Linked DNA regions of Lepisosteus oculatus. The protein of the gene in region 2 purifies or fractionates together with the protein of the main gene of each other region. This does not show direct contact. Links are inferred from orthologs where the notes say so. Each region holds a gene or a part of one and is shown on either strand. Other genes may lie near its edges.

The links.
Region 1: the proteins of F-box/WD repeat-containing protein 1A (region 2) and hnrnpd purify together in Homo sapiens (affinity purification with mass spectrometry; 3 studies listed by BioGRID, with this or other methods). This does not show direct contact. The link is inferred for Lepisosteus oculatus from reciprocal best matches to the Homo sapiens genes BTRC and HNRNPD.
Region 3: the proteins of F-box/WD repeat-containing protein 1A (region 2) and forkhead box protein N2 purify together in Homo sapiens (affinity purification with mass spectrometry; 3 studies listed by BioGRID and IntAct, counting the BioPlex papers as one, with this or other methods). This does not show direct contact. The link is inferred for Lepisosteus oculatus from reciprocal best matches to the Homo sapiens genes BTRC and FOXN2.
Region 4: the proteins of F-box/WD repeat-containing protein 1A (region 2) and axin1 purify together in Homo sapiens (affinity purification with western blotting; 7 studies listed by BioGRID and IntAct, with this or other methods). This does not show direct contact. The link is inferred for Lepisosteus oculatus from reciprocal best matches to the Homo sapiens genes BTRC and AXIN1.

The regions. Positions count from the first base shown.
Region 1 is NC_090698.1:27,393,718-27,400,747, forward strand, and holds the start of hnrnpd (heterogeneous nuclear ribonucleoprotein D0), read right to left. Parts: upstream 3,006-7,030; 5' UTR 2,769-3,005; coding exon 2,611-2,768; intron 631-2,610; coding exon 462-630; intron 1-461. Other genes in the region: hnrnpdl (heterogeneous nuclear ribonucleoprotein D-like), read right to left, coding at 5,531-5,601, 6,335-6,499, 6,975-7,030. UniProt on the Homo sapiens protein: Binds with high affinity to RNA molecules that contain AU-rich elements (AREs) found within the 3'-UTR of many proto-oncogenes and cytokine mRNAs.
Region 2 is NC_090699.1:35,670,535-35,677,966, reverse strand, and holds the start of F-box/WD repeat-containing protein 1A, read right to left. Parts: upstream 3,024-7,432; 5' UTR 2,916-3,023; coding exon 2,871-2,915; intron 2,244-2,870; exon of another isoform or gene 2,204-2,243; intron 1-2,203. UniProt on the Homo sapiens protein: Substrate recognition component of a SCF (SKP1-CUL1-F-box protein) E3 ubiquitin-protein ligase complex which mediates the ubiquitination and subsequent proteasomal degradation of target proteins. Recognizes and binds to phosphorylated target proteins.
Region 3 is NC_090712.1:12,852,619-12,859,454, forward strand, and holds the start of forkhead box protein N2, read right to left. Parts: upstream 3,024-6,836; 5' UTR 2,954-3,023; coding exon 2,947-2,953; intron 2,756-2,946; exon of another isoform or gene 2,647-2,755; intron 1,679-2,646; exon of another isoform or gene 1,613-1,678; intron 1-1,612. UniProt on the Homo sapiens protein: Binds to the purine-rich region in HTLV-I LTR.
Region 4 is NC_090714.1:607,810-614,883, reverse strand, and holds the start of axin1 (axin-1), read right to left. Parts: upstream 3,002-7,074; 5' UTR 2,855-3,001; intron 2,330-2,854; exon of another isoform or gene 2,157-2,329; intron 1-2,156. UniProt on the Homo sapiens protein: Component of the beta-catenin destruction complex required for regulating CTNNB1 levels through phosphorylation and ubiquitination, and modulating Wnt-signaling.

The DNA.
Region 1 (7,030 bases), on a different chromosome or scaffold from region 2:
TTTTTTTTCAAACCATAAAAATAGCTATGGTTTTCCTAGGCATACAAATTATTTGCTGATCAAATCAGGAATGTAAAATGTAGGATCATGGACCAAAAAGACATTTCTTTCATTTAGCGTATCGGTAAATTATACACAGTATAATATGCTTAAAGAAAGATATCCTCAAGAAAAAAAAAACATTTGCACAGGACTGAAATCAGCATTATATGCCCATTAAAAAATAATCTGTACTTTTATATAACCGTGTTGGAAAATCTCTACACATCTTCGAAATGGAAAGTGCTTTTAGAACAGCAGTTCTTTGTGAGTAACTGGTAGTAAAATTGTAAGTAAGTAGTAGCTGTAACCACTATAAGCTAGTACCTTCACAATGCAGAAATGTTTGAGAGAGCCTGTGCATTTACTATGAAGGCAATTCTAGCAAATTGGCAGCATGCTAACCTCAGAAACAGAAATACCTTATCAACGCTGTCAGCATCTTTAAATAATACAAAGCCGAATCCTCTGGACCGTCCAGTCATGGGATCCAGTTTTAGTGTGCAGTCTACTACTTCTCCAAACTTGGAAAAATAATCTTTCAGGTCCTTCTTCGTTGTATCCCAGCTCAACCCTCCAACAAACATTTTTCTGTTAAAGAATTAAAAGTACATTAAAAACAATCTTTTTAAGGATGAAAAACATAGGAACAGGTTTACATGCAACCACATGTGCACATACCATATATGGATGTATTGTTTAACAGTGTCTTGGGTGCCATACCAGACAATGTGTTAACATGGTATAAGCATCACATCATGCTCTTATGCTGATGCAGACACACATTATAATACAATTGGAACAAGTAATAGGTTTATTCCATGCTGAAAAAAAGAAGAAAGAGAACACAACGTTTCGGCCGTGGAGCCTTCTTCAGGTGTTCACCTGAAGAAGGCTCCACGGCCGAAACGTTGTGTTCTCTTTCTTCTTTTTTTCAGCATGGAATAAACCTATTACTTGTTCCTTTGCAGCCTACGCATGCTGACGCAGCTACCCACCTGAACTTATAATACAATTGTTTGCCTAAGTGAATTTTGTCTTCGAACAGCAAAGTGGTGCAGTAGTAAACATTGCAGCCTAGCAGTGCTCGGTCCCTGGGTTCAATTCCCAGAGTACTATCTGCGTGGAGCTTGTATGTTCTGCTCCGGTTTCCTCCCACAGTCCAAAGGCATACTGGTGGGTTAACTGGCTTCTGGAAAATTGGCCCTGGTGTGAGTGTGCGCAGTGTGATAGACTTGTGATAGACTGGCGTCCCATCCAGGGCGTACCCTGCCTTGCACCCGTGCTACTTGCCAGGATAGACTCCGGCTCCCCTGCGACCCCGAGTCAGATAGAGGGGTTAGAACATGGAGGGTGACGACGCTCTGAATGGGATTCCAGACCACTGCAGGGCGCAAAGACACTCTAAATGTAAATACTACAACTCGTATAGTCAGTATGTCTTTCTTAACTGGAAGGAAACTGGACCACATGTCAAAATTTACCTGAGCAACAGCAATAATGTGAAAACTCCTCCCATATAACACCCCTGCCCAGAACTGAACCCAGGACCTATGGCACAGCATGCCACTCGCCTTGATAACACTTCCTAAATGTTGTGCTTAAAACCAGATATCTTAACAGTTTACACACCGTGAAACTACCTAGAATACTGATTTGCATTCCTGAGCACTTAAATACCTATCTAGACAGTGCGATATGTATCAATGTAGCAGGTAATCAAAGTAAATCTACAATTTACAACTGAAAATGAAATTGGGGTGAGGTAGTAACACTTTTATCCGAGTTAAGTAATCACTGCGTCTGCACCGTAAACGTTTTAGTCAACTGAAAAACACAAGAAAAACATTCTAAGTATACCTATACCGTGACTCTATATAGGGTGCAAATCCTCAGCAAGCATCACTCACGAAACCGGTTGAGTCTCATGAGGACAAACCGGTTTCGCTTCAGATAGCTGACACTTGGGTGTGACCCAGTTGAACCACCGCGCGGTTATTCAGGTTGCTGACGTTACTATACCCACTCTGTACGATACTTAAAAAGCCATGAACTGTATAGCAACTTCCAGAAATACTTTCCACACCAGGTAGAAGTGTGTATCAGTCATAACACTTCACTGCCAGTGTTCTCAAGTGCGTTTTAATACCGTTTAAACGCCCTTAGATTTAATAATGGTCTATAAACTATATGGCACCAGTTGATCCCACTCTGTTATAATGTCGTGATTATAATGGACTGCGATAAATTATGCGGTACAGCTTCACGTTTTGGAGTACTGTTGCAAAAAGAAAAACTAATTTTCCGCAGTTTACTCCAACTGGAGTACCAGACATCGCCAGCTACAGCGAGACATTTTATATTTAAAAACAAAGGTTTCAGCGTCACTCGAGATTGCTGTTGTACATTACGGATTACGCTGCACAACACAGATTAATGCAGCACACGTTACGGGACCCATTTGTCGATGACCTGTCTCTGTGGTAGCATCGTCAGTGACAGTACTGCCCGCAGCCCCTTGTTCGCCCTGGAGACTACAGAGTCCGTGTCGGGTCTCCGTCCGTCTCTCACCCTTCATCCTCCTCGTTTTTGCTGGCGTCGATCTTCGATCCCTCGGACTCTGAAGCCCCGCTCTCTCCGGTCGCCATCTGCTGCTCCTCTCCGCCCGCCTCCCCGTCTTCCTCCATCTTCACCACCGGGTCCTCTCCGACTTGGTGCTCCTCCGACATTTTTTTATTGCACAAGAAATAACTACCCTTGGTATATTTTCTCAACCGGTTTGCCTTTTACTCCAGAATGAAATGCAAACGCGTGCTGTTTGGAAGACGCACTAATCAAGTGAAAGAGGTCTTACGCTGGCAACAAGGGCCAGTTGTTTTTCTACTGTTTTTAACAGTTATTTCAATACACGCAGTGCTCTTTGAATCTTAATGGCGCCGCTTACAAAATGGTCGCAGGAAGGAAGCACTCGTCGACGTTCGGCATGGGGCCAATCGGACAAGTATGACACAATCGCAGGCAGCCCTCTTCAGGGGAAGCGCTGTACTGCGCCGTTCATCACAGTCGCTCGGGTCTCAAGTTTTTCTACCGCTTGAAATGCAGGTCACATTAAATAAACTCATAACACTCAACTAGCGCTCCCGATTAATAGAATATGTGTCTTCTTATGATGAGAAATTAAAACGAAAAGCTCGACTTTTCAAGCTAAAGTGAGATTTTTCCGGAAAAGTACTTGATTATCCAGATTAATAGAGTGAAGCCGAAACAAACCGACCATTTTTAGACCGCGTAGCATTGAATGTGCCCCGCTTCTCAAAAGGTAGAGCTGTATGTCCTGGATACAGCTATTTGACCTAATTCAATTTCAATGAAACCTGCCTCCTGATTCCGCGGGCCGTTATTATGAGCCAAGGGAACAAACCGGACCTTAGCATGTTTACCTTTATATAGGCCGCAGTCTTCGTAAAACCCGCAACCGTTTGTTTCAGATTGCTGTACTTAAAGTTTTATTTAGTGTACAGTAAGTCCCTATACTGGCCTTTTGCCCCGATATAAACCATCGGTGAGCCATCTACTATTTAAAATGTTCTAAATGAGAAGTATCAAGTTCAAAAACATCAGAGAGAATTAAAGTTTACAATTTACGTTGAGTAAATTACATTAAAAGCCAACTGAAAAATTGAAAACGTCTCAACTTGACGGCAATATATTCAGAGGAATTTCAAAGATGTTTTAAAAAATCATTTGCATTTATAAATAATTCCACAATCAAAAACTTGGTGTAAACGAATACTTATCACAAAAATCAATAAAAGCTCAAAACATTAAGTGAAACACTGTTTTGAGATTAAGTATTTGAATGGCTACTGAACAGTGCATTTAGTTCCCAAAATAATCACACCAGGATCATTTTTGTATCCATACTCTTTAATTCCCTTCATGGCTGCAAAAAACACAAAATAAAAAAGCATAAAAATGTAAAGACCGCTTTACAAAACAAACAAAAATATATTTCATTACAACACCAACATGGCAAGGAATGAATGAGCCAACTCCAGCAACAAAACTTGAAAGCTTCTATTTACAAACAGACACCTGCTGGTGCCAACTTTGCCTCTAATTTAGAAAACAAGGTCATCTTAAAATAAAAACAGTTGTTCTTGATTTAAAAGGACTAGAATCTCTCAGTTGCCACCAGGGTAACAAGCAGAAAACTCATCTGGGCTCCTCACCTGAAAGAGAAGAGACAGCGCACATTAATTCCATGTGTCCATGCACTTTAAAACCGAAAATTAGAACACGGCCAGGTTTCACTGATTAACCTCTTGTGCTGCCAACTTTAAGCTATGAAGTTCTCTCGTGTTAAGGATCATATGTATCACACTCAGCTTGGCAGAAGTGATACAGCCAGCAAAAGCTTAGGTGTAGCTCCATTTCTAAAGCAGATGCACTTACCACTGAAGAGCAATTCATAACCACCCCCCCCGCCCCCCACTACTTTTGAACCCTCTTTCAGGCAGTTACAAATTGAGGTTAATAGTGCACACAGTTGACCTCTACAGAATGGCTTTTGCTGGCTTCAGTAAGCTTCTTTACATATGATCCCGAACACCTACATTTTTAAAAAAAGTCGTTATTTTATCATTTGAAGGTTTCTCTACTGGCTATAAAGAAAAAGCAAGCATTAAAAGTTTAAGCAATTTAAAGTTTATTTTAGAAAACAAAAATCACTGAAGGTCCAGAACTGAAATACAAGAACGACACTAAAATAAAAACAGAATACAATTAAACAGTTAAGTCATTTAAGATTAAACACAAATCCTGCAAAAAACCATTTACACAAAAGTTAAGCCGTTGTCAAATAAAAAGGCAAAGTCTGAAGTTTCCATTTTTTTATTTATTTTTTTATCTTTACGCTGGTACAGGAAGTTGGAAGAGACCATACCACAGGACAGCGTTTTCTTGTGCATGCCGTGCTCTCTGCCCGCTATGTGCGACGCCCAGAGAATGACGTGGTCAGGGTGACACACGGCCTGCAATGAAGTTCCCGCTGGCAGGTACAAACAAGGTACAACATCAGAGTTAGGAAGAAGGAAAGTAAAGATAGGCCCTTAATTTGTACCCTTTAGCAGTACTTTACCTGTTAATATTGCTAATAAGTCTCTTTATGTTACTTCCACATGATCACCTGTTACAAAAATCAAAGGAGAAAAGGGAGGAAACCTACAGAAAAACCCTTACGTTTTTCTGGAGAACTAAAAAAAAACTGCCAGAGAAAGCATGGCATATTAAAGATCTATAGACAGTTGTTAAAGAAAAAAATGAAACATTCGGGATGATGTTCATGGCAATATTTACCATTTTAAAGTTTGAAGGAGGTTTTTTTTTTTTTGAGTTGTCTATTGATCTTTAAAATTATTAGAAGTCAGCCAAGGGGTTAGGATTCAATTTACCTAAATTCCTTGAGCAGGTTTTCCTTTAGTTTTTCTTTTCAGTATGGCTGGTAGTTATTCTGGTGATTTCCGCCTCCTCTTGAAGCCTTCCCGTAACTGCTTTGCTGACCTAATTAAAAATAAAAGTTGTCATTTACTTCAATAAACATTAGTGCATCATACAGAAATTGTACACTTTTTGCACCCTATCCTTGGGGAATTCAAGTAGTGGCATGGACAAGTACCATATAAAAAGGTACAAAAGATCTCTGAATAAATGTCTATACAAAGTAATTTTTTGTACAAGTCTCCACACTGAATATACCTACTTTAACTGCTTCCACCAGTATTTCTTCATACATACTTTAAAATAATCACAGAATGATTTGAACACTTGTGTAACATGTATTCCCATATTAAAATTAACAATTTTCAATATAAGCTTAATTTTAAGATTAAAGCATGAATGACAAGGAAACAATCCAAATCCATAACCAAATAATGGTAAAAATTACAAATCCGGAAGCAAATCAATTTATTGGGAGTTATTAATGGGGATTATGCTTTAAAAAGATTCAAATGGTAAATTTGCCAACAAGGGCCCAAGTAACAGTAAGTTATTTTAAACTTCAAATTCCCCCCAAAAAATCGATTTGCTGTACTGAAAACTTCATAGTGACCATCTGCTATCATATAGACCTAAGAAATTTGTCTGCGTAAACAAAGCAAATAAAAATCCAAGGCAACATTACTGATCTTCATTATTGTACATACTAGGCCGGTTATGTGCTTTTGATATAAAAATACACAGTAATTTTATAACTTAAACACTCGGGTGATTTGTAATGAATAGTTCTGCTTACCATTGTAGTCGTCATATCCCTGTCCATATCCATAGTTATTATAGCCGTACCCAGAATAATCATAGCCGCTGTAGTCATTGTATCCTTGATTGTACCCATTGCCGTAGCTTCCATAATTCTGACCATAGTAGCTATTATAGCCTTGGTTATAGTTTTGACTTTGACCTGTGATGGACAAATGAATACATGTTCAAAGTGAGCAATTTGTCAAGCACAGAACTGCCAGATAATTCTTGAGAAATCAATTCAGATGTAATGATACAGAAAGGAACAGAACTCCAGAACGCCACGTTCTAAGAACAATTAGACGGGATTACACTAATTCTGTAAAAGCAAAAGATGTATTTAAGCTTTTAGCATGATAAACAATGTAGTTGCACTTTAAAATGTTCACTGAATACTGCCGACAGTGAAGTTTCCAATCCAGATTAACCTTCATGCTGCAATAACCAAGATTTAGCAAATCATTTGGCTCTTGATTTTGTACATGTACTTCGTATTCCACTTGTGACATTGTGCTAAGTATTGTGAAACCTGCAACCTTTTTAAATATGGATGTGTGGATTGTAAAATGAGCACCTGGAATTTAGGGACAGCAGAAAAAGAATGATAGAGTTTAATGAGTAAAAGTGGAACACACCTCCCCGGCCTCTTCCTCTGGAACCTCCTCTTCCAAAGCTGCCCCTGTCTCCTCTC
Region 2 (7,432 bases):
CTATCTTTTCAAACATCAGCACGACTAAAGTGGTGTATTTCTGTTATGTACTGCATAATAAATTACAACTTCTCAGAAATCGGACAGCAATTGAAAAGTACAGACTGGATACAAGAGGCAGCACTGCACATTAGAAGTACACTGTACTGTGAAATTATTGTTTTTGTCAATAAGGTGCTGGTTCATTTTTGGCTTATGCCTTAAAGATGATATTGTATCAGACACTAACTGTACCATCAATAGACTGAGTTCTCAAGGAAAATACAATTACAAAACCACATTCAGCTTGACAGGCTTTCAAGCTAGCCCCCATGTCATAAAATACAAGTTTTCGACAGCAGCAGTATGCAGTATACTCCACTTAAAAATATCAAAAGGAAATTTCGAACCATGGCTTGCAGAGAAATGGCATTCTGCATTATCATAATTATGCAGCCACTAGAATGATACATACTAAGATGTTTTTGTTACAGGACATGATTCACCAAGGACACGAATACCTGGCGTGGGCATATAAACCAAAACCTCAACAAAGCAGTCTGAAGCTGGTTTACATGTAAATAAGACAGGCTAAATTTCAATTAGCACAGAGCTCCCCCAAGACAGGCAATTTTAAAGATCCAGAAAAAAATGGAAGCTAGGCAAGTAATTTGGTTTCTACAAGGATCCCACATTCCAAAAATTAAACACTGCCATCTGAGAAATGTCTACCAGAATTGGAGTTAAATGGCCAATAGTACAATCTGTGGTACAGGACACACACCAACAAAACAACAAAGTAATTGGCATCCTGATGTATGAAGGGATCCTAATTTGCTATACTCTTAACAGCAACGTCATTACAATGATATACAACAGGTTTTCACTGGCAAATTCTTGGAAGAAAAACAGCACTACAAGGCACCAATTCACCAAACAGGTGATGAACTACTGCTGCAATGCACTAGGTGCAAGACTGAAGGAGATGTCAGCGTAATAAACCATGTCATGTTTCAATTCAATCTGTGCAGCATTTCCCCCAGAAAGAGACGGTTTCCAAGCTTCAGGAAAAAAATGACAATTCTTTATTGACAAAACAGTATGCTGATGTTGGAAAACAAAATGGCGGTCAGGCAGCCATCTTGGTTTAAATGAGAACCTGCTTTCAGCATGTTAACTGTATTCGTGGGCCAGTAACATCTACTGAGTCTACTGAATTAAATGCCCAAGTGTTTGCTCAGAAACAGTCTGTGTTTTGACAAGACAACTAAATAATATTCAGAAAGTCAAGAAGGCTAAGACAGGAGTGCTGTTCTAACCAAATTATAATCATCCTGACAATGTTTATCAGATTTGCACTTACCCAATGTTTCTGAAGAAACGTTTTTCACAAGCAGCTGATTTTACAGTGACCATGTTCTTGAATGTAGCAACCTGAACAACCTTGAGAAGGGAACCTGGCCTGACTTATGTAGTTATACCAAATCTCATTCCAGTAGGCCAAACCGTTTGAAAGATGTCAAACATTTATTGCACATCTCACACTGTGCAAGCCATTGGGCAGCCAGACATTGTGACTTCTCAGTCTCACTTTCACCAAAACAATTTCTGATAGGCCATCACAATCCTTTGAAAGTTCATTCATTTTTGTTAAACAATAATGATTTTCTACACATTTGGAAATGTTGGTAGATGAATAAAACAAGCAGAACAATAACAATAAGTGTCCAGTAATGTTGCCTGGAAGCCTGAGAGGACCATCCAACAATAGGGCAAACAAACACAGCTGTAATGAGTTGTGGACTGAACCTGACAAGTGAGAATTCAGTACTGTAAATACTCAGTCTGAGTCAGAAGAACTCAATATAAATACAAACACTACTGAGATGAAAAGAAACCTCTTACAAAGTCTACAAAATCTGGGAATTAATATTTTTAGTGGTGCATGCCAAGTTAATGTACCTTAAACCATATCACATATGCAAATATCTTATATTTACACTATACATATAAATAATGTTTATTTAGACTATGAATATGAATAATATTTGTTTTTTAAAGGGGTAAGCCCACTTGCAAAGCCAAATCTGTGCATTGAACTACTCTTTAATACCAAAGGTAAGTATTTAAGTGTTGGCAGTCTTTTGAAGTGTGGTGTGGATTACAATTCTGAATTACATTGAATTCTCATTTTATGTCAGAATTCAATATAATCCACACTAACCTGTAATTATTTCAAGATGAAACCTCACTGTTCAAGATATCTGAAGGACAAAACCATCAATTAAAAGAGCGTATCTGTAGTTTATATTCAACACAGACAACATTAAGACTTAATTATACGTGACCACTTGTGCTGAAACACAACACAGGACACGTCAAGGAAAAATATGAAATACATCCACCAGTAAAACCTAACAAAAATGGCCTATATGAAAGACACTATATCCAACATCTAAAAAGCTAATATAAGAGTATAGTCTACACCTCAATTAAAGTACACTTCAATAAAATTGATACAAATATTAGTTGACGTAACATAAATTCAAGCGCACCGAATCAAGCATAATGTAAACACAGGCCAAAGCTAAACATCCACTGGGCAGAAAAACACATCGATTACTTCAAGCAAACAACTATCAAGATCAACACACCAACACATAATATTCATTATATTCTCTTCCCTGAAAAGATCTCATTTAGCTTACGGATTTTTTTCAATAAATAAACGTAAGTTTATTTTGTCTGTTTATTTATCATAGTCCAAGATGGCGGCTTGACCCACCGGTACATTCATTTCCAGCACAAACCGCTATGGACAAGCCCAAACCTTCATCTCATTTGGGTTCTGTCGAGTGTCAGAAACCGACTTTGCCCTGTCATCTCCTCACCATAAACTTCAGAGCCTTCTCTTGCAGTACCGTCTCTGGTTCCATCGTCAGTCTGTCCGGGACTGGTTCTCTCTCAGCCCCGGGACCTGCGTCTCTCCACTGCCGCTGCTGCAGACAGGAAAATCCGTTCCACGGCACTCACCCCCCAGCGGCCCAGGCTGCACGGCTGAAACAGAATTGTGGGGTTTGAAGTTTCTTCAACCCTAAATATTGTGTATGCTCATATCTCAAACACTACAAGTCCCAGTTGCGCTATAAAAGCCTTTGATGCATTCTGGTAGTTCCTGTTTTATTTACAATAAGCCTTTACGTACTACAAATCCCACTAAGCGAGTGCGTTACTCTGGGATGTGTAGTTTTTCGATCTTTTGTTTTGTCGGTTAGTTACGCATTTAGTATAATAACTGGATACATATTTTAATCTAATATTATTTTTTTTTAAAGCTGAAATGCGATAATTCTGCTATTGTAGTATGTCTCGTGTTTTACATACAAGCGATATTTGATTTAATATGGAACAATTAAAAAAAGAAACATTAAACACTGGTTTGGCCATATCCAGTTTGTCATATATAGAAGTGGACACAATCGTGGAATTATCCAGTGGTGTTATATATGACAGCACAGCACATGTGTATATTCTATCATGTGTACTGATTACATAATAAATACGTGTATTGATAACTACCCAAGAAGTGAATAGTTAATGTGCAAATTCCATTCTGAACGTCTGCGTAGTATCGTATACGGATTAGGTTTTCCGGTCATTTAACCATTCTTTATTTTAATTTCTACTTTTATTCTCCATGGATTCTTGTTCTATGCTGCAATGCTCTTTTGATCTGGTTCTGCTATGGTATGCCATAATATGCTTTTATGATGTGCTGTATACTAAGTGCGATGTTAAAGCTGTATTATTATGAACTGTAAAATTGCTTTATTATTAATTTTAATTCATTGTTATTTAAAAAAAAACACATAAAATATTGCTTCACGTCGTTTGTATCCCGGATTCGTTTCATGCTCTCTCAATTTTAATGTCTGCTTTTCCTGGGTGTTCTAGTTTCCTCCCACCTGCCAAAGACATGGTGGCCAGGTTAATTGCTGTCTTTAAACTGTAGCTGCACCTGTGAATGTGTGTCTGTGCTCTGAGACTGGTGTCCAGTCTAGAGAGTAGTACTGCGTTGTGCACTGTTTTCAGGATAACTCCAAGCAGCCCTTAGGAATAAGGTGCTCCTTGATCAAGAATAGATGGAACTCCAAATATACAGTTTGACATTACAGTGATAGCACTATTATAATTTCAGTTATTAGTAAAGATATTACATGAAGTTAGGTGAATAGTACATAAGATGGTGTTCAATTAATTGCATTATTATTATTAGTCGTACTGTATATTGCTTTAATTAGTAGATGTCTGAATTTGAACCCAATGATAATGTTAAAAGCACAGCTAATACACTGTGGCTGCAACTCTGGTGTCCTGGAAAGAAAGGTTTCCAGTAATGTATGGAAACTTTGCTATTTATGGTTGTGTTTCTACTGAAAATAAATACAATTTATTACATTTGATATGATATTTTAGCAAACGTGAACCTTAGTAAGTCAGTCCTGGAATTTTGTGGTGGTAAAATAGGACCAGTGGGACAGCTTAAGGCAAAGCTACAAAATAAAGGTAGTCCACTTTTAAAGTTTGACTAAAATCAGACAGGCACTGAGACAAGGCCAGTATGAGCTCTTCAGTGTGCAACTACAGTATGTATGGGGTCTTAAATTCAAACACCTTGACTAGATTTCTGCTACATCATAAGATAAAATTATTTCATGCGCAGATTCTAGGCTTGCTGTTTTGAAACTGTCTTATTACTGTCAACAGGCTCATGTACTATTGACAGATAAAATCAGAGAACAAAATACCAATCCAAACAACTTCCTAGCAGATCAAACCATCGTCCATATAGTTTCTAGTTGTTTGGGGTTGCCGCTGTGTGACCGTACCTCAACACTTCTTATCAATAGCCTTTCAGATGTTTTTCCAATGTATCATTAACAATTAAAGCCGTAACTGTTGTATACCATTTAAATAGTATGCCCATCTGATCCTCTATCCTAGCACAAGTAGCTCGTGTCACCACCGAGAAAGTCAAGAAGTGACAAGGATTTCCAGGTCAGAGCTGCATTATTGTTACAATGACCATCATTTGTAATAGTACAGGCTCTAGTATTATAGTAGTAAGCATGGCTGTGGTTGCAGTGGTAACATTGATGTAGATTGTTCAGGTTGGTATTAAAGCATTGTTCTCTTGCTAAATCTATGCTTTAGTACATTTAGTAATATTTTAGTAATATATCCTTTCTTTTACTTCTTTTCTTATTCATAGGTGCAGTATAGATATTAAGGACTATTCCCTTTATTGCCTTTTCATTATTATGATCCATGTTGTGGGCATATCCAGCTTGCATTTGTCATTTAAACTATATTCCAAAACAAAGTAATTATAAATAAATCTTTGTGCACATTAATTATTGTTAATAATAATAAATGATTAAACTTTTCAACAGTGTTCATGAATATGCAATCATAGCTCCCATGAACAATTGACAGATTTATAGAAGAATCAACAAAATGAGGTGTATGATTTCTCTTGATTTATGTCAGCAGAAGAAAGGATTATTTATTGCCAGGCTGCTGGACTGGAAGATTCATCCTCTGTAAGAATCCGATTGTACAGCAGACACTGTGCGGGAACACAGCTATGACTAATGGCTCCTTTGCATAGAAATGAGAACTCATGGACCAAGAACTGTAAAAATACAATAACTCAATTGACAGCTGATCTCTTTATCATATGCATAGGCAAGCAGCCTATTAATTTTTAACAGACAAATAGTGAAGTTTTTTTCTGGCTGCTTTTTTTTTCTTAACACAATGAGCACCAAGTATAAAATATACATTTTTTTCTGTACTTACGAGTTTATTCTAGAGTGCAGCAATGCATAGCTGGAGGGTATTCTGTGCCAATGTGAAACATATAGTGTTTCTTGAATTCTTTAAAGGACCAGTTTGAATCAACTTCCCCTTCCTGCTATATTCATCCTGACTTGTTTTGTGCCTTGTTGTGGGAGCAACCTGCTGGGGTTTCTATCTACATGTTTGTTTTTGCCATTAAGTGACTATCCCAGTAAGGACGGGTTCTTGAAGACAAGGGTTTTCCAGAAGGCCCACCAATCTTAGGACATTTTGAAACAGGACATGTTTTCTACAGTCATATCTAAGATGAGAAGTGTTTGCCTTAATTACTGTATATTTTTGCTCAATTTCTAGATGACAGAATTATTTAAAGTATGATACTCATAATTAAGTTCAGAATTGCTCCATTAATTCAGTACAAGACTGGACTTCATTGCATTATGTTTTCAGAAAAGTTCTATCTGAAGTTATTTTTTCTGGAAAGGGTAGCTAGCACAGCAAATAGCAATCTAAGCAGAATAAAAAACATCATGAAAATAAAGAAATAAAAGGATATAAATATAAGGATATAAATAAAAGGAAAAAAAAATGGATAACATACAGTATGTCTGTAACTCCATGAGTCATGGATATATACAGGGGTGTAAATTTCCAGGAGGAAATAAATGTGGACAGTCCTCAGCTTCATGTGTCTAGTTGTGATGCTCAGAATATCTTTCTCTTGCTCTCATGGATGAATTGTAAATTTGAACTGAAATGTAATTTGTTAGGCAATCACCTCACCGCAGGAGCCAGCAGAAAATGAGCCTTTCAACTAATTTCACATGGGCTATGTTTTGCATAATTTAACATAATAGAGTCTTATACCATACTTTAGATTAAAGATGAGTAGTGAATTGTAAATTATATACATATACTTTCTACACACAAAAAGGATGGAATAAATGTCTGGTCCTTTGCTTTTTTTTCCCCTCAATTCCCTTGGTGTAAACTGTTTTACTTCCCAGGATTTAGGGACAGAAAAGAACATGACATATTTTACAAATATTCTGTTGAAAAGGGCTATGTAGGATATGGTCCTGTGATTGGATGTGCAGTGTGTAGTTTGGGAATGTTGCAAACTAGTTGGTTTTTATCCATGGTTGGAAATACAGCCATAAATGTACAATTAACTAATACCAGGCCACAGAAAAAGCAGGCCTGCCCTGCGTTTCTTTAGTACTTTAGTGAAAAAATAAATAAAAAGGCCATTGGATGCTGTTAGCAGAAGTTTTTAGACTTAACTGTCTTCTCCCTTTCCAAATGTACAGTTTGGTGTTTCAAAAAAAGTGTTATATTAAATCTTTACAGCTGAAAGGAAAAAAGTTATGATTTTACATAATTCGATTTTAATTAGTCCTTTTAGTCAATTGTAACTCCTCTATTTTTGAAGAATTGTAAAAATATAGTTGATCAAGCACCTACAGTGCCTTGCGAAAGTATTCGGCCCCCTTGAACTTTTCAACCTTTTGCCACATTTCAGGCTTCAAACATAAAGATATACATTTTTTATTTTATGTGAAGAATCACCAACAAGTGGGACACAATTGTG
Region 3 (6,836 bases), on a different chromosome or scaffold from region 2:
ACTTAATTTTAATTTGTTTTTGTGCCATATGACAATGAATGAATCTGCTTACAGTGCCAAAAACTTACTTTGCTAAATGCAATACAGCTGAATTCATTCGGGCCAGCATCAGCAAAAAGAGCATAACTTACATGGCATGTTTTATTTTTAGTATTGGGACAAACTAGGATAAGGCACACATTTTGTTCCTATCTCTGCAACGGCTAACATTTTAACTTTCACTGGTACACACCTTAAATAAAATAATTGACTGTTAAACAAGGGCACACACACCAGACAGTAACCAACTCCACTGATGGTTGAAACGAAAAGCCATTCTAGTCTATATAGCATTCTCAGAGACCGGATTCCATGTAATTAAAAGACAGGTTGTTATATTTTCTGGCTTCTTTGTTTTTATTTATCTACGTAGGTGCCAGCAAACAGCATCTGCTAGACCAACTGGGTGACTGAGCACACCTGATGCACAGAAACTTCAACAGAATAAAGAGCAAACCAGTCTTACAGTCCAGTTCAAAGGTATTCCAGTAACTGTCTTTACGCAATCGCTACAAACATGACAGTAAAGAGACAGGAGAATCCCATATTGATGCAATTCTTCGAAAAGACACTAAAACCACTGGTAACAGCCATGCGTGGCAATGAAACTCTGCCAATGTGCACAGGCCATCTACCACACAGCTCAGAGAGAAACACTTTGATTGGAATGCACTGCAGATCTGGGACATGCTTTTGCTGTTACCTACTACATCATGTGTTCAGAGATTACCCACTTCCAGAGCTAAAGATCAACCTTTGCACTGCTTTTGTGGGATCACCGGGCCTGTCGGCTAAAACCTTCACAACACTTTTGCAAAAGACAAGAAAAATAAACCGAAAGTAAGCCGATTAAACTTCACCGCAATAAACAGCCCGTTGATGCATGATAGTGATTGTTCACGTACTTTCCTGAACAGACAGACAAACTAACGGGATGATATCATCTTGTTACAGGACAGAGGCTGTGGTGGACAAATCTGTTGGAATGTGGTCAGATCCCCACTCCGAGTCAGTGTGACACATGGGGACATACTGAAAGGTACATTAAGTGACGGAATCGGGAAAATGTCGAAAAAAAGCCCCTGGAATCCTTACTGTAGCAGGACTGGGTGCACCATCAATTCTTGTAAACGAGCAACTAAGGGACGCCCAGTACACTTTCCGAGTTATTATCGTCTTTTAGTTTATGGCTATTTCCATACAAGTTCAACAAAAACGCAATGCCAACGGGGGAAAGCAGACTTCGATCCCGGCTGCCGCTGCCTCTCAGACCCTCACCGGGGCTCGCTGATCTTCGCACACAAATCGAAAATCCATTGTTTGGGAGGTGGGGGGGGAAGACAGCGTCTACCCGTCTAGACTACTCCGCGTTGTGTTTATTCGAGAAAAATGCCTAAATTAAAAACACTACGCCGAGATGTCGGCCAGTGCTAAGTATAGAATCGTGTGGGATTCCTCGGGTCCGCACGGCAGGAGCTCTCGCTCTGTGTCTGGCACGGCGCCCTGCAATTTTTTTTTTTCGAAGCAGGGTGCATGGGCGACAAACAAGAGCACCGTCAAACCAGAAACACACCTCATGTGACGAGCGCGACGGAGAGAAGTTGTCGGTACAGCCCTTCCCGAAACCTTTTCTAGCTCGGCCCGGCTCCCCCTGACCACGTGTCTCTGTCACTCAGCGATACAATCTAGCCCCCGATTCACCGGAAACAATGCGCACGGCTCCCTCCTTATACCCACGTTATCTTTATTGGATTTCAACGTGAAATAAAAGTTAAAGCTGTGCGTTCCGGAACGGCCGCGCCGCAGACGTGAGCACGCGAACGGCTGGTTTGCCCACGCGGCACAGCTGCCCTACATTCGAGCCGAGGCGAGTGTTTCCTGATTCCCGTACCGTTTGAGAATGTGCTGGTGAGCACTGCGAGCATTTTCCAAATATGAAGTGCATTCAGCTCGGCTAGTCCTCAAGAAAGTCTCCCAAATAAATACAATGCGAAGCCCGACCCTGCCAGGACTTCTCGGAATGGCATGACTCGTTACAGGAACACGATAAGGGCTCGCTAAGACGAAACGCATTCAATGACCCTGCCTTCTGTTTTGTGGATATACAATCTATCTACACAGTCCATTCTTGGGTAAGGAAGGGGATTACATATAAACGATCCTTTGTGTTTTGTATTACTGGTTCACAATAATACTGTATACTAACAAAAGAACGCTAAGACAGAGGCGTTTCAACTATCTCCCCAACAATGTTGCGTAAACATGTCAAATCCGTCAACTTTATTTCTTCCAATACACCACATTAACTTGCTCTGACCGGGACCGAAGTTAAACCAAATCGAAGCCCAACTCGGAGAACGAAATAACTTACACACAACACACACATTTTTCTTTTTAAAAAAAAAACTGGACCACAGAAGTGGGGAGTCAAGTGTCCCTCCAAATCCTACCATACGTCCTTAAAAGATATATGGAGGGGAAATAAATATTCATCGCGTCACGTTATTAATTCATATAACCCATTTTCTCTTCAGTGCACAGGATAAAGAGGGAGAACTACCCAAAGGCATTGTTAAGCATAAAAAATGAATTCACGTTTGTACTTACATGCATGCACGCTGTGCCTGTTTAGCAATATGGCAGTGAATCTGTATACAGTATGTGCATATAGATGCCTGTCTCTCTCACTGTGTCAGAGATCAGCAGCTGCTTCCTCCATCCACGCAGCGCAGAAATCACACCGCACGGCAACGCTACCAAACCCCCTGCCGTCGCCACGGCAACAAGGCTACTTCAGCCAATCACGCCCCCTCCCCTCCGACGTCCCCTGGCAACTGCCGCAGCGCAGCAACATTTTTAGAAAAGCGCAAGCAACTGCGACCCCTTCCGTACGCCATTTGGGCTCACCGAGCATCTGGCCTTCAAGGGAGAAACGGCCGGCAGTGTAGAAACGGAATGGCGTCAGTTTCAAATCCTGTCCCACACTAAGAACCCCAGCTAGGTAAGGCAGCGCAGAGAACCCGTTTTCATTCAGTAACTTTTCACTTGAGATGCCGTCCTTCACCTTGTGTTCTCTTTTTAGTCTGCACTGAACTCGCACGCTGCAAATGCTTGCGGCGCCGGGAAGGATGGAGCGATGTAGCAGAACACGCTCCGCTTCCCGCGGAGGGAGTGAACCCGGCAAGGGAACGGCGGCGCGTGGCAGAATAGAGGCCAATCGAAAGGTGGGATTTAGAATTTGTGTGCGTCATTTTGGCGGGGAAGTCCTGCCGGCGGGTCTTTGAGCCGTGCGGTCTGCGAAGCGGATGACAGAAGTAGTTAATCTGATACAATGTCGAGCAGTTCACTTATACAGCGCATCTCAAAGAAGAGCCTGATGTGTAACGTACTCGAGTTTATTTAAGATCAATTTCGCCATGCCAAAATAACGAGTATGATAATTACTTGAGTTTATATGGCGCTTTACATCCTAAAGAATCACTATTCCCTTTGCATCAAGGAAGGGACTGTTTTCGTCAACCTCTGAAAATTATGTCTAAAAGCTCCACTAACTATACTGTAGATCAGCCAGAGAAGTGAAAAAAATGCTTCTCAAATTGAATTAAGTGATAAGGAGGCTAGGTGGTGCAGGACCAGAGTATTCAGTTATCCAGGGCATCAGAGCTCATACCCCTACTCTTCCACACAGTGCAGTGCGAACGACTACCTACTGCTCCACAAAACAACCCTTACAGGAGCATTCTGGTTTTCCTTGGAAGTCTCTCATCCCAGAACTGACTAGCTTTTCCTTGATCCTGAGATCGCTCAAGATCAGAAGAGAATTTGCTAACACTGCTGTTGGAATAAGGCTGTGAACAAAAAAATAAAGTGTTTTAGTACATTCCCTTAACCATATGTAAAATGTATTTGGTTCTTTTTCTGGAGACAGTTGTTCGCATAACAGCTACAACCTTTGTCCTGGAGTTACTCAGTGACACAATGGGGCATTTTCTACTGTTATGTTTGCGTTTATACTGTGTTATGAAATAACTGTAATTAATCATGGGTTGCCTTGGTTAATGTTGTTAGCAAAATAAATATATAAATAATTATTCATTCAAAAACCCAAATCCCTCAGGCCTTTCTTGGTATTATAAACTAAGCCAAATCTCTCAAACATCAGAGAATCCTGTTCTGTTAGCTATGAGTCCTAAAATGTTCAGCTTTTCTTCCCCTTCAGACAGATAGCTACTCCTGAAACTGTATCTGCTCAGCCTACAAGTGGTGCACTGTCAGGTTCATTGATAACTAACACGATTATTCTCTGATTTTATAACCATTTTAATAACCCATGAAAAATTATTTTCTGAAATCTTTTCCTGCTCTTATATCTGGGGACCTACAGAGATAGTCCATGTCTCGTTCCAGTCTGGACTGTATTAGTTCACTCCCTGCTGTCTTTCCACCTATTTTGCTTATTTATTCATCTTCAGCCTGATTGATTTCACTGGCTTGTTAAAAGTGACTGTGGACTTTGCAGTGCAGTTTAAGAAGCAGTTTAATTGCTGATGGGGGCTGTTTCTAGGCAGCAGAGCACCTCTTTTGAAGCTGGGGTGCTGAGCTTTGTTTGGTGAAGCCAACAGCAGAAATCATTCACACTGTTGCTCACAGAGGATTGCCAGTGCACCGTGTACTTTTAGTGTCCTGGCTGTATTCATGACTATATTTCCATGGCTTCGATTTGCTATGGTTTCTTTTATACTTTGTCATGTGACTTGTCTCATGTTAGGTGGAGGAGGGCAGAAAAAGCAGCAGATAATACTTTCTGGTTCAACAAAACACAAGGCTGCTTCCTGGCATAGCTGTGTTTATTACAGGAAAGACAAAGTGTTTTAAGGTAGAAATTGGTTTGAGAATCAGACGTGTTTAGAAATTACACCACTCCAGTCAGACAGCTCTACAGTGCCGTTTAGAATAAAACTCCTGTGATAAAATGTTTATTGTGTAATGTAAATGTTGACTGTATGTTATAAAAATTATAATATAATGTAAAAGTATATATATATATCAATACCAGAGCAAGGCATTGGGCCAGAGCTTATCCTGGATTCTGTAGTGTTAAGCAAACTGGGAGCACTTGATGGGACGGGACACTGGTCTATCACTCTGCACAGTAATGCATATAATGTTCCCATTTGTACAGCTGGGTGGACTGGAACAACGGGGAGCAGTGCCTTCTCACTCTTCCTCACAACTGGATTGTATCTCACAGCTGTTCTTCTGTGTCTGCGTGTGCATTGCTGGTGCATGTCAGGGTGAAATCATAGCAGCAAAAGAGTCACACATGGGTGTCATCTACCTGGTGCCCCAGGGAATTGTACAGGTCACCCTTCACACTTCACCACTGCAAGAATCATCAATGTCCAGCACATTTAAAAGGCTATTCAGCAAGCTGAACTACATGATGTGGCAAATCATGTAAGCAAATCAAAATGGTTTAGGCCCCGGTTGAACTTTCCAATAGCTATGGAGTATTTCTGATCTTGGCAATTGGGTGCAGGGATACATATTTTGAACTAATTACACCCTGGAATTGTGTAGGGGACGATGTATCTTTTCAGGGTTTCCATTTGAGGTATGCAGCCTGTTGTATTTCTGTCATATGCCTGGGTAACTGTCAGGAATTCTGAAAGTAATTCTCAAGCCTCGTGTTTGATATTGTTGAATGAATAGATATATTTTTTAAATATCCATTATTCAGTTTTTGAACAGTTATGTAATGCCTTAATTACCTTTTACAAAAATGAACACCTCACCACACATCCAGCTCAATAAATACATTAATTGCACAACATGTATCAGATTTATAACTACAGATTTGAGTGGCTTGAGTTTGGTGAAAAGCACTCATAAAATTGAATTACTAATTAAGATGGAGAGATCTATCTATCCAGGTTATCTACATACAGTAGACAGATAATTTTATGTTGTAAACTAACTTACTCAAAGGTCAAGTTAACAATAAAGCAGGTACTGGAAGCATACTACGATGCATGAATCATGTCAAAAAATCCTTAAATCCCTGATAATTATTTCCTTTAGTTGTGCTCATTCTAGTCAGAACAATGTTATTTAGACAGAGCTATTTATAGAGGCAGCATGAATGGAATGGCAATGGTTCTGATATCAGTCCTGTAGTGCTGAGACAGCAGGTCATGCAGAAAAATGAAAGACAGCACTCCATGAAAACAGTCAATTCAAGTAGCCTTCCTGCTAAAATGATTTGTTCTGTGCTACTGACAGTAATAATGTGATTTATGTGCTACAGATGGAGGGGATGCAATTTATTTTATCGCGTGCTAAATTGTTAATGATCAATACAACCAGCAGATATTCCAGAGTGTCCTGCATTGGCTGCCATTCGGGTTTACTGGTTTAGCTCATCCACAGACATTCTCTCAGCGCATTATTATCTGAAATGAAGATGGATACTGCAGCCTTGCTAATGCCATTTAATCTCTGAAATTGGTAGGCTTTCAGAACGAAAGGGAAGCGACTGATTTCTGGGAGTACCATCTCCTATGAGAAAGAGAGCGAGTGTTTATGTCTGTGTTAGCTTGCGCCAATATGTAGAAAGCATATAAGAAGCGCACTCAAAGTTTAACAGCATGGCAAGCACCTCCCTGGAGACTGCACTCATTAATGGATCAGAGTGGCTCATATGAATGTTTGCTTAAAGTAGACAGATCAATAGAAGGGTGATGCTGAAGGGGGGCTTATACCCTGTGGACTACTGGAGGAGTGTGTGTTTGGCTATA
Region 4 (7,074 bases), on a different chromosome or scaffold from region 2:
ACAGAAAAAAAAGAATACATGTTCAAATGCTTTATAAAGTGACTCAAGGAAAACTATACCCAACCTGACAACAAGACAAAATACATATTTCAAAACATCTGACAGTAACTGCGCCAAACACCAAGTACTGATCTAAAGGGGTGTATAAAAAAGAGTTACAATAACTCCTGAAAGCTCAAACACCAGCTGAAAAGCTAGCAAAAGGTAAGTGAGTTCTCTGTCCACACTCTATTGTTACACCTGCCAATTTAGATTTACACTGCTGTGTATGGTCTGCTTGAAATAGGCTTATCTTAAGAAAGGCCAGTGATTCAACAATAGGGCCATTTAGACATTAAAAGGAATGTAAGTTTATTGTACATTCAAAAATGTCATTTTCAAGATGCACTTTTATTGAAACAAATCTACAGGTACACTGCACAATGTGGTAGCATAAGAAGTAATTTTCGTATGTGATAATAACAATAATTTAAATAAATTCACACGACTAGGCTAGTTTATAAGTAACATTGTGAAGCAGATGATGTGATCCTACTACTAATTCATCTCAGATTATTTTGTTGTTTTTAACAGAAAAAAGAAGATTTTTCATCACAGTTGGGGATCTGGGCTACACTATGCTGGTCTGAAATCTTTTGATTTTGATCAAGACTAATGAAGTTATTTGAATGAAAAGAAGAAGGAGTACTTGTGGGTTTGAGTATTGATATGCTGCTCTTTTTTAGTGCTGTCTTAAAAGAGCAAAAGTACCAAAAGACTGTCACAAAATGTATTCTGGACTCCTGCTGATGTCTTTTGTCATCGCTGAATATCTCATGACTAGCAAACCCGAGAGTGGATTAGCCACAGTGGATTAAAAGATTTGCCTCCTAGAGTTTATTTAATATTGTTTTGCTTATTATTACAGAACTACGTTGGAAAAATATGCATACATCTTCAAAACCGGGTGATGTCCTTCTGTTAATTTAGTGTATTTGGAGAAAGGCAGTATTGACTCTAACCCAGAGCTGTGCCTCCAAAGGCGGTACACTTTGGACAAGGAAAGCCTGATGATGAATGAACACAAGGAAAAAAGCACGAAAGCTCATCATGATCTGTGGTGTGTTAGTTTTCAGATGCGCTGATAGCAGTCGAGCCATTGTTGTGCTGCCCAGTTAAATCCGCTGGCTGACTGCAGCCAAGTCCGCAAGAGGCACGAAAACTAGGAAAACAACAACAGCGCACCTACCATAGGAAAGCACTCCACAGCACAACAATTGATTTCAAGATGAATGCAAGCTGGGAAAGCTGTGGGCATGATCCCGACTCCTAGCCTGATCTATGGAGTTACCCAATGTTTGTATTTTTCTATCGGGTGTTTTCCGAATAAAAAACGGTTTCCGATTGCTTTTTTACAGACCGTGGCGCGTTACGCACACTGCGGTATGTATGGCCGCCATCTTTAATCATAACTGGGTTCGTTTGCGAGTCCTTTTTTCCTTCCCCACTGATTGTTATGGTGGTTCTTTCTTCTGACTGACATCACATTGCAGTATCGACAGGCTCACGGGCCGCGCAGCAGGAGGTCTCTGGGATATGGAGCTCAGGCTGGCCATCGCTGCCGTCCGGCAGATCCGCTGCCTACATTCAAGCCTTGCTTAAACATAGGGATTGCAAACAAAAATTCGTCCCAGTTCAAGTGCCTTTGATCTCATAAAGGCCTCCATTTACAGCTCCTTAATAGAGGCTTTTGAAAATATCTTTTCTCAGATGTTCCGAGTAATGAGATTTAGAATACTATGATTAATCTAGGCCCGCTTTTTTTTGTACACACACAGACGCACACTCTCATTCAGCCAAACTGACTTGGTCGCTTAATTCTCCCAACATAAGAATTGGAAAAAATATATCGGAACTATGCGAGAGCCCAGCTGGAGTGCTTTGACGGCGCTGTTTTTAACAAAATTTGATCTGAAAGGCCTACAACAATAATTTTAAAGTCTGGCCGACCCGCTCGCCCCTGCCCCTTCCCTTGTTTCATTCATCTTCTCGCTTTTTTTTTTCGGAAGCTGAACGTTAAAAGACTAATCTTGTTTACTGTCCCTGTGTTTTTGATTCACAGAGCACTTTTCGAAGAAGAATGAAGGGAGTTAAATCGGTAGGGACGATGCTCTCACCTGCCTCTCCTGCTGAGTAGTTCGTCGGGTCTGATTTTCGTGTTCCGCCATGACTGGGCGCAGTCGCCTACTTGCCACCCTGAGTACTTACTTATACTCATGAACCTGTTTCTGTTTCTTACTACTGTGTTGCTGAAAGATGTGCATCTTTACTTTATGTTGCAGCTTTGGCTCTCCAACCTGATTGGATGACGCAAGGACCAGATGATAGTGCTTAGAACCCTATTGTAACTATGGCAACAGACCCCTTAGGCATGAGTGATTTGCTCATAATTGCTGGATAAACATACAAAATAAGGCGCTATTTCAGCATTTTATTGTACTCCACACTAAGAGTATAAATGACAATAAATAAATCAATTGGCTTTCAAATAACAGCTAAGCTGAGCAAGTTCGATCAATGGACCAGCCTGCGCCGAGAAAGGCAGAGGAAAAAAAGAAAGAGACTTGGTAACATAATGCTTTTCCTATCATCCGCTAGTATCACTTGCTGCGTTCATAAATAAAGAATAAAGTTGAGTTTGGTTTCGAATCAAGAGGCTGGTACGTGTCTTATTGAAGACGAAGAGACAAAGGAGAACAACAACAACAAAAAAGGTGAAACAAGACAAGAGAGGGTTCAAAGATAAAAGTGAAGGGGAAAAAATGGGAAAAAGAAATAATATTCCCTTTGTACCAAAGTGTTATCAGCTGCTTACCTTTCATGTGGATTTCACACTCGCTTGTCTGAGGCAGCGAGGGTCAAGCCCAGCAAACCCTTCCCACAAGATCCGATTTTCCACTCACACTGTCCAGCAGCCTCCGCGTCGGCTGCCACTTACATTTGTGTCGATGATGCTGCACGAAAACATTTTGCATAAAGGTGTCGGGTTTTGTGCGTGCATGTTTGAAACCCATCTGTGTGTGGATAAATGTACTTCAATAATGCGCTGGGAGCTGCCTCTTACAGTGACCAAACAGGCTATGTTTGCAAAATGGAGATAAAGGAAGAAATTCATGGATTTTTTATTCAAAAGAGCAGCATCTAGCCTTTAGTTTGAGTTGAACTCATCACTGTTGAGGTGGTGTGTGTGTCTACAGCTATAAAGAAAAGTTGCCAGTCCGACTAAACACAAAAATAATCAGGCTTGTTGAAATGTTAATTTTCATTGTCCTTTTGACGCTACCTGGCAGTACGACCAGGGTTATGTAACTTTGTTAATGCTTTCTCTTCAAATATGCTGAGATTGATGGCACAAAGAGAATCGTGGACACCTTTGCTAAATTGTGTATTTTTTATGTACTGTTAACTTAGAAATTACAGACTTTTTTCCAAGCAGAAATGATTTTATTTGAAATAATGTTGTAATATTCTAATATTATATAAAGATGAGGAAAACTACAAATACTATATTGGTTTACAGACTTGACAAAGTAAAGGACTTTTTTACAGAACAAAAATGTTTTTATTCTTTTCATTCTGTAACCCAATTGTTCTGTGTGCAAACTGCGTGCAAATCTAGATTTTGTAAGGTGTGTGTTCTGAGTTAGTGTGCATCACTGCTCTGAAGTATATTTCGCTCTGTGTAGGACTTTACAAAGTTGAAGCAATGACCTCGTCCGCCTCTAACACTTCTGGAAGTTAGGAGCTCCTCTAGCGCTGTGGGATGAACACGGATTAAAGGGCACAGGAAGCACTGCAAGATCCCTCTGTCCTGTCCTGCTGTAGGACAAAGAAGAGGGAGCAAGGACTTCACAGTAATACAGGACTGCAATCGCGAAGAGAGAAAAACACCCCAAATTCTCAAAAAGGAAAATTTAAAACATGTCTTCACAGAAAAGATTGGGGGTTTAAGAAATCTTCAAATGAATTGATGATTTGGATATTTTGTGGATCTTGATAAGATATTTAACATTCCTATTTGTCCTTGAATTAACTAAAACTTTTTAATAACTTCTTGCAGGATAAACCATGAAAAGACAGGGAGAGGTCAAGTAGTGTAATTACATTTTGTCTGCTGAGGTACACTAATCTTTTAAATAAGGTCTCTTGCTCAAGTTAAAACAAAATTGAATGATTTCACAAATTTGAGTGGAAAGTTAAGGTGGTTTATATAAGACCTCTGGTCTAACAAAATGAAGATGTGACAGACTGCTTCTACATAAAGAACACCCACAGCCAAATCTGGAACAAGGTTTTTAAACAGATTACTGTGTTTCTTCAGGCATTTACTTAAAAGGCTGGGTGTAATGCATTTTAAAATAAGGTGCCACTGATAAAAAAGAGGGGCTGTAGCTAAGTCAAATTGAGAATTAATTGACCTTTGGGAATTAATTTGTTCATTTGCTGTTTAATCATACTTGTTCTTTATGAATACATCAACTATTGTCCATTGGAAACTATCTCTTAATAATAAAAACATCTCGCTATGTCAAAACTATTGCCCATTTTAACCAACTAAAAATAAATCTACACATACATCACAGCAGAACTCTTCATGTTAAGTGTTTTCTCGATATACATGGGGAAGTAGTTTCCAGGCTGGCTTCCTACAATTACATGTCAATTATGCATCAAGTGTTTCATTACAATGATTCTGTATTACTTCAGGGGTGTCTTATGGAGAAATTTAACAGGTTACGTATAGCTGCAAAAGTGAACAAATACTCAGGTTAATCCGAATAATCCACATTGCTTTTTACTGCGTGACACAGCATTGAGAACAGCATTGCCAAAGTCTTCTGTACTGTTACATACATTCAGTGTTACACTTGAGTGCTAATGATGTCAGTCTGCAAGCTGTAGTGCACTGAGGAAACAGTGCTGATATCTAACGCTCAGATTTACGGACTTCAGCACCCTATTAGGCCTTTCAGCCTCTGCGACTCACTGCACTGCCCGATACGGAATACACCTCCCGACCACCAGTCTGTTTCTGACACCGAAAGTTTCCGAGTAAGCACTTAGATAATACTTGATACTACAGTATAGACTGAAGTAAAGCTCTTCTGTCATAAACAGAAACAGATTAATTAAATACTAGTTTTCCAAAAAAAAGAAAGAGGGTGAGAGGAATGTTCCAGTTTTTCAAATAGAATCATTACAAACATTTCCAAATGATATTACAGGTGTTTAGATTATCAGGAAATTCATCACACAGCAAATCAGCGTGACACTCACAAAAAACTGTAATGTGTAATACATTCCATTTCACACTTGACCTCTGATGAATCTGCAAGCTATAGTGCACTCAGGAAAGATTGCATTATTAATTTGGATAACACACAACATCTGCCAAGGGAGAATTTCAAAGATTTTTCTTTCCAGTTCTCCTCCTTTCAAGAAACACTAGACTGAATTTGATTTTTGCTTTTCAATCAAATTGGTACAGTTTGTATTTTCTAAACAATTCAGAAAACTAAGAGAAACAGCTTTCGGCTTCATATGCTGTATATCCATCCCCAGCCCCCCTTCAAACCTACACAAAGCTGTTACAATATAAAGCATCATTTGTAATTCTTGAGGGACTGAAGTAATTTGGCCTGTAGTCACACTGAAATCATGGTCTTTTCAGTAAGTTCTTAAGATACAACAAATGTCAAGGTTAAATCGCTACAGATCTCTCCTCATGATTTCCGAGAAGTGCTTACACAGGAGTTGCATTGCTGTTAACATTCTCTATTCACTTTCTGTTTCTGTATAAGAGAAATGCATGTATCTGATCAATTTAGTGCAGAACTATTGAACTTGCAAAGTAGGTCTATTAGTTTCCTTTTTTCCCTAAAAAGAGTGCCACATTTCTGGGTTAACATGACAAGCTCTCACAGAAAGGCCTGATTCTTCATATAGTTACAGTACCCAGTACCCAGTAACAGCACGTGGGCTGCAGGCACTGTATACTACCTTCTGATATCAGTGTTACCACTATCTGGGCTGTTCTCAAGAGATCTAGAAACTAACAAAAGCTGGTCCTGGTAAGCCTGGGATGTTAGACCTGGTCTGTTGTGTAGTGGGGCTGCTGGGACCACATCTCACTGTAGAAAGGTAATGATTCAGGTGATTTCTAGTTCACAAGGGACAAACTCTGAGTAGAGTTACAACAGTTAAAACACTTCAGAAGAGCTCTCCAACAATGTTCCCAATGACTGCTGAGCTCTGTCCAATCTTCTGATCATCACTGTACAGTACGTTCATTTTCTTTCAAGACGACCACATGAACCACTGCAGACCAACTGTATATCATGCGAATAAGAAACTGCAGAACGGTTCAGATCAACCCACTGAGGTGGCGTTGGGAAAGGGGTCCTAGCAGGGCGGTCTGAGCATTGCAGAAATATCTCCTTCGGGTTTTGGAGAAATGGGCAGCCGCAATGATAGAGAAACTCAAATCCCACCAGTAGTCTTGCTCAACGTGCTCCTTAACCCTACAGCTGCCACCTTCCCTGCTGGCGATACTGAGCCCAGCCTCGCGCCAAGTTCTGTCCCATCTTCACAGGTTGGAGTCCAGCTCCCATCGACACTTCACATACAGCCTCGCCAGCCACGAGAAGGAAGCCTCTGGCTTAGTCTCCAGGAACAGCAGTTTGTCTCAGTGTTCTGTGTTCATGCACAGTAGGCACAATGCCAGCACCTTTATGCCATCAACGTGTCATACCATACCCATCAAGGTATTCAAAACAAAAACAAAAGTTAAATCAAGGTCTGACTTGGGAGCCAAAAAAATATGGCAAGTCTTCTTTATCAAACAATACTTCCATTTAATTCCAGCAGATACGGTACACCGCAGGGTCGTTTGTGAAGTAGTGTTTACATGTCCTTACAATAATGATCTTGTAAGATCACTCTGAAACCGAAAGTGAATGATCTATTGCATTTTTCACAGCCTAAAATTGTTTTGTAAGGAAATCATAGTACCATTACTACCTTGTAGTCCGATGC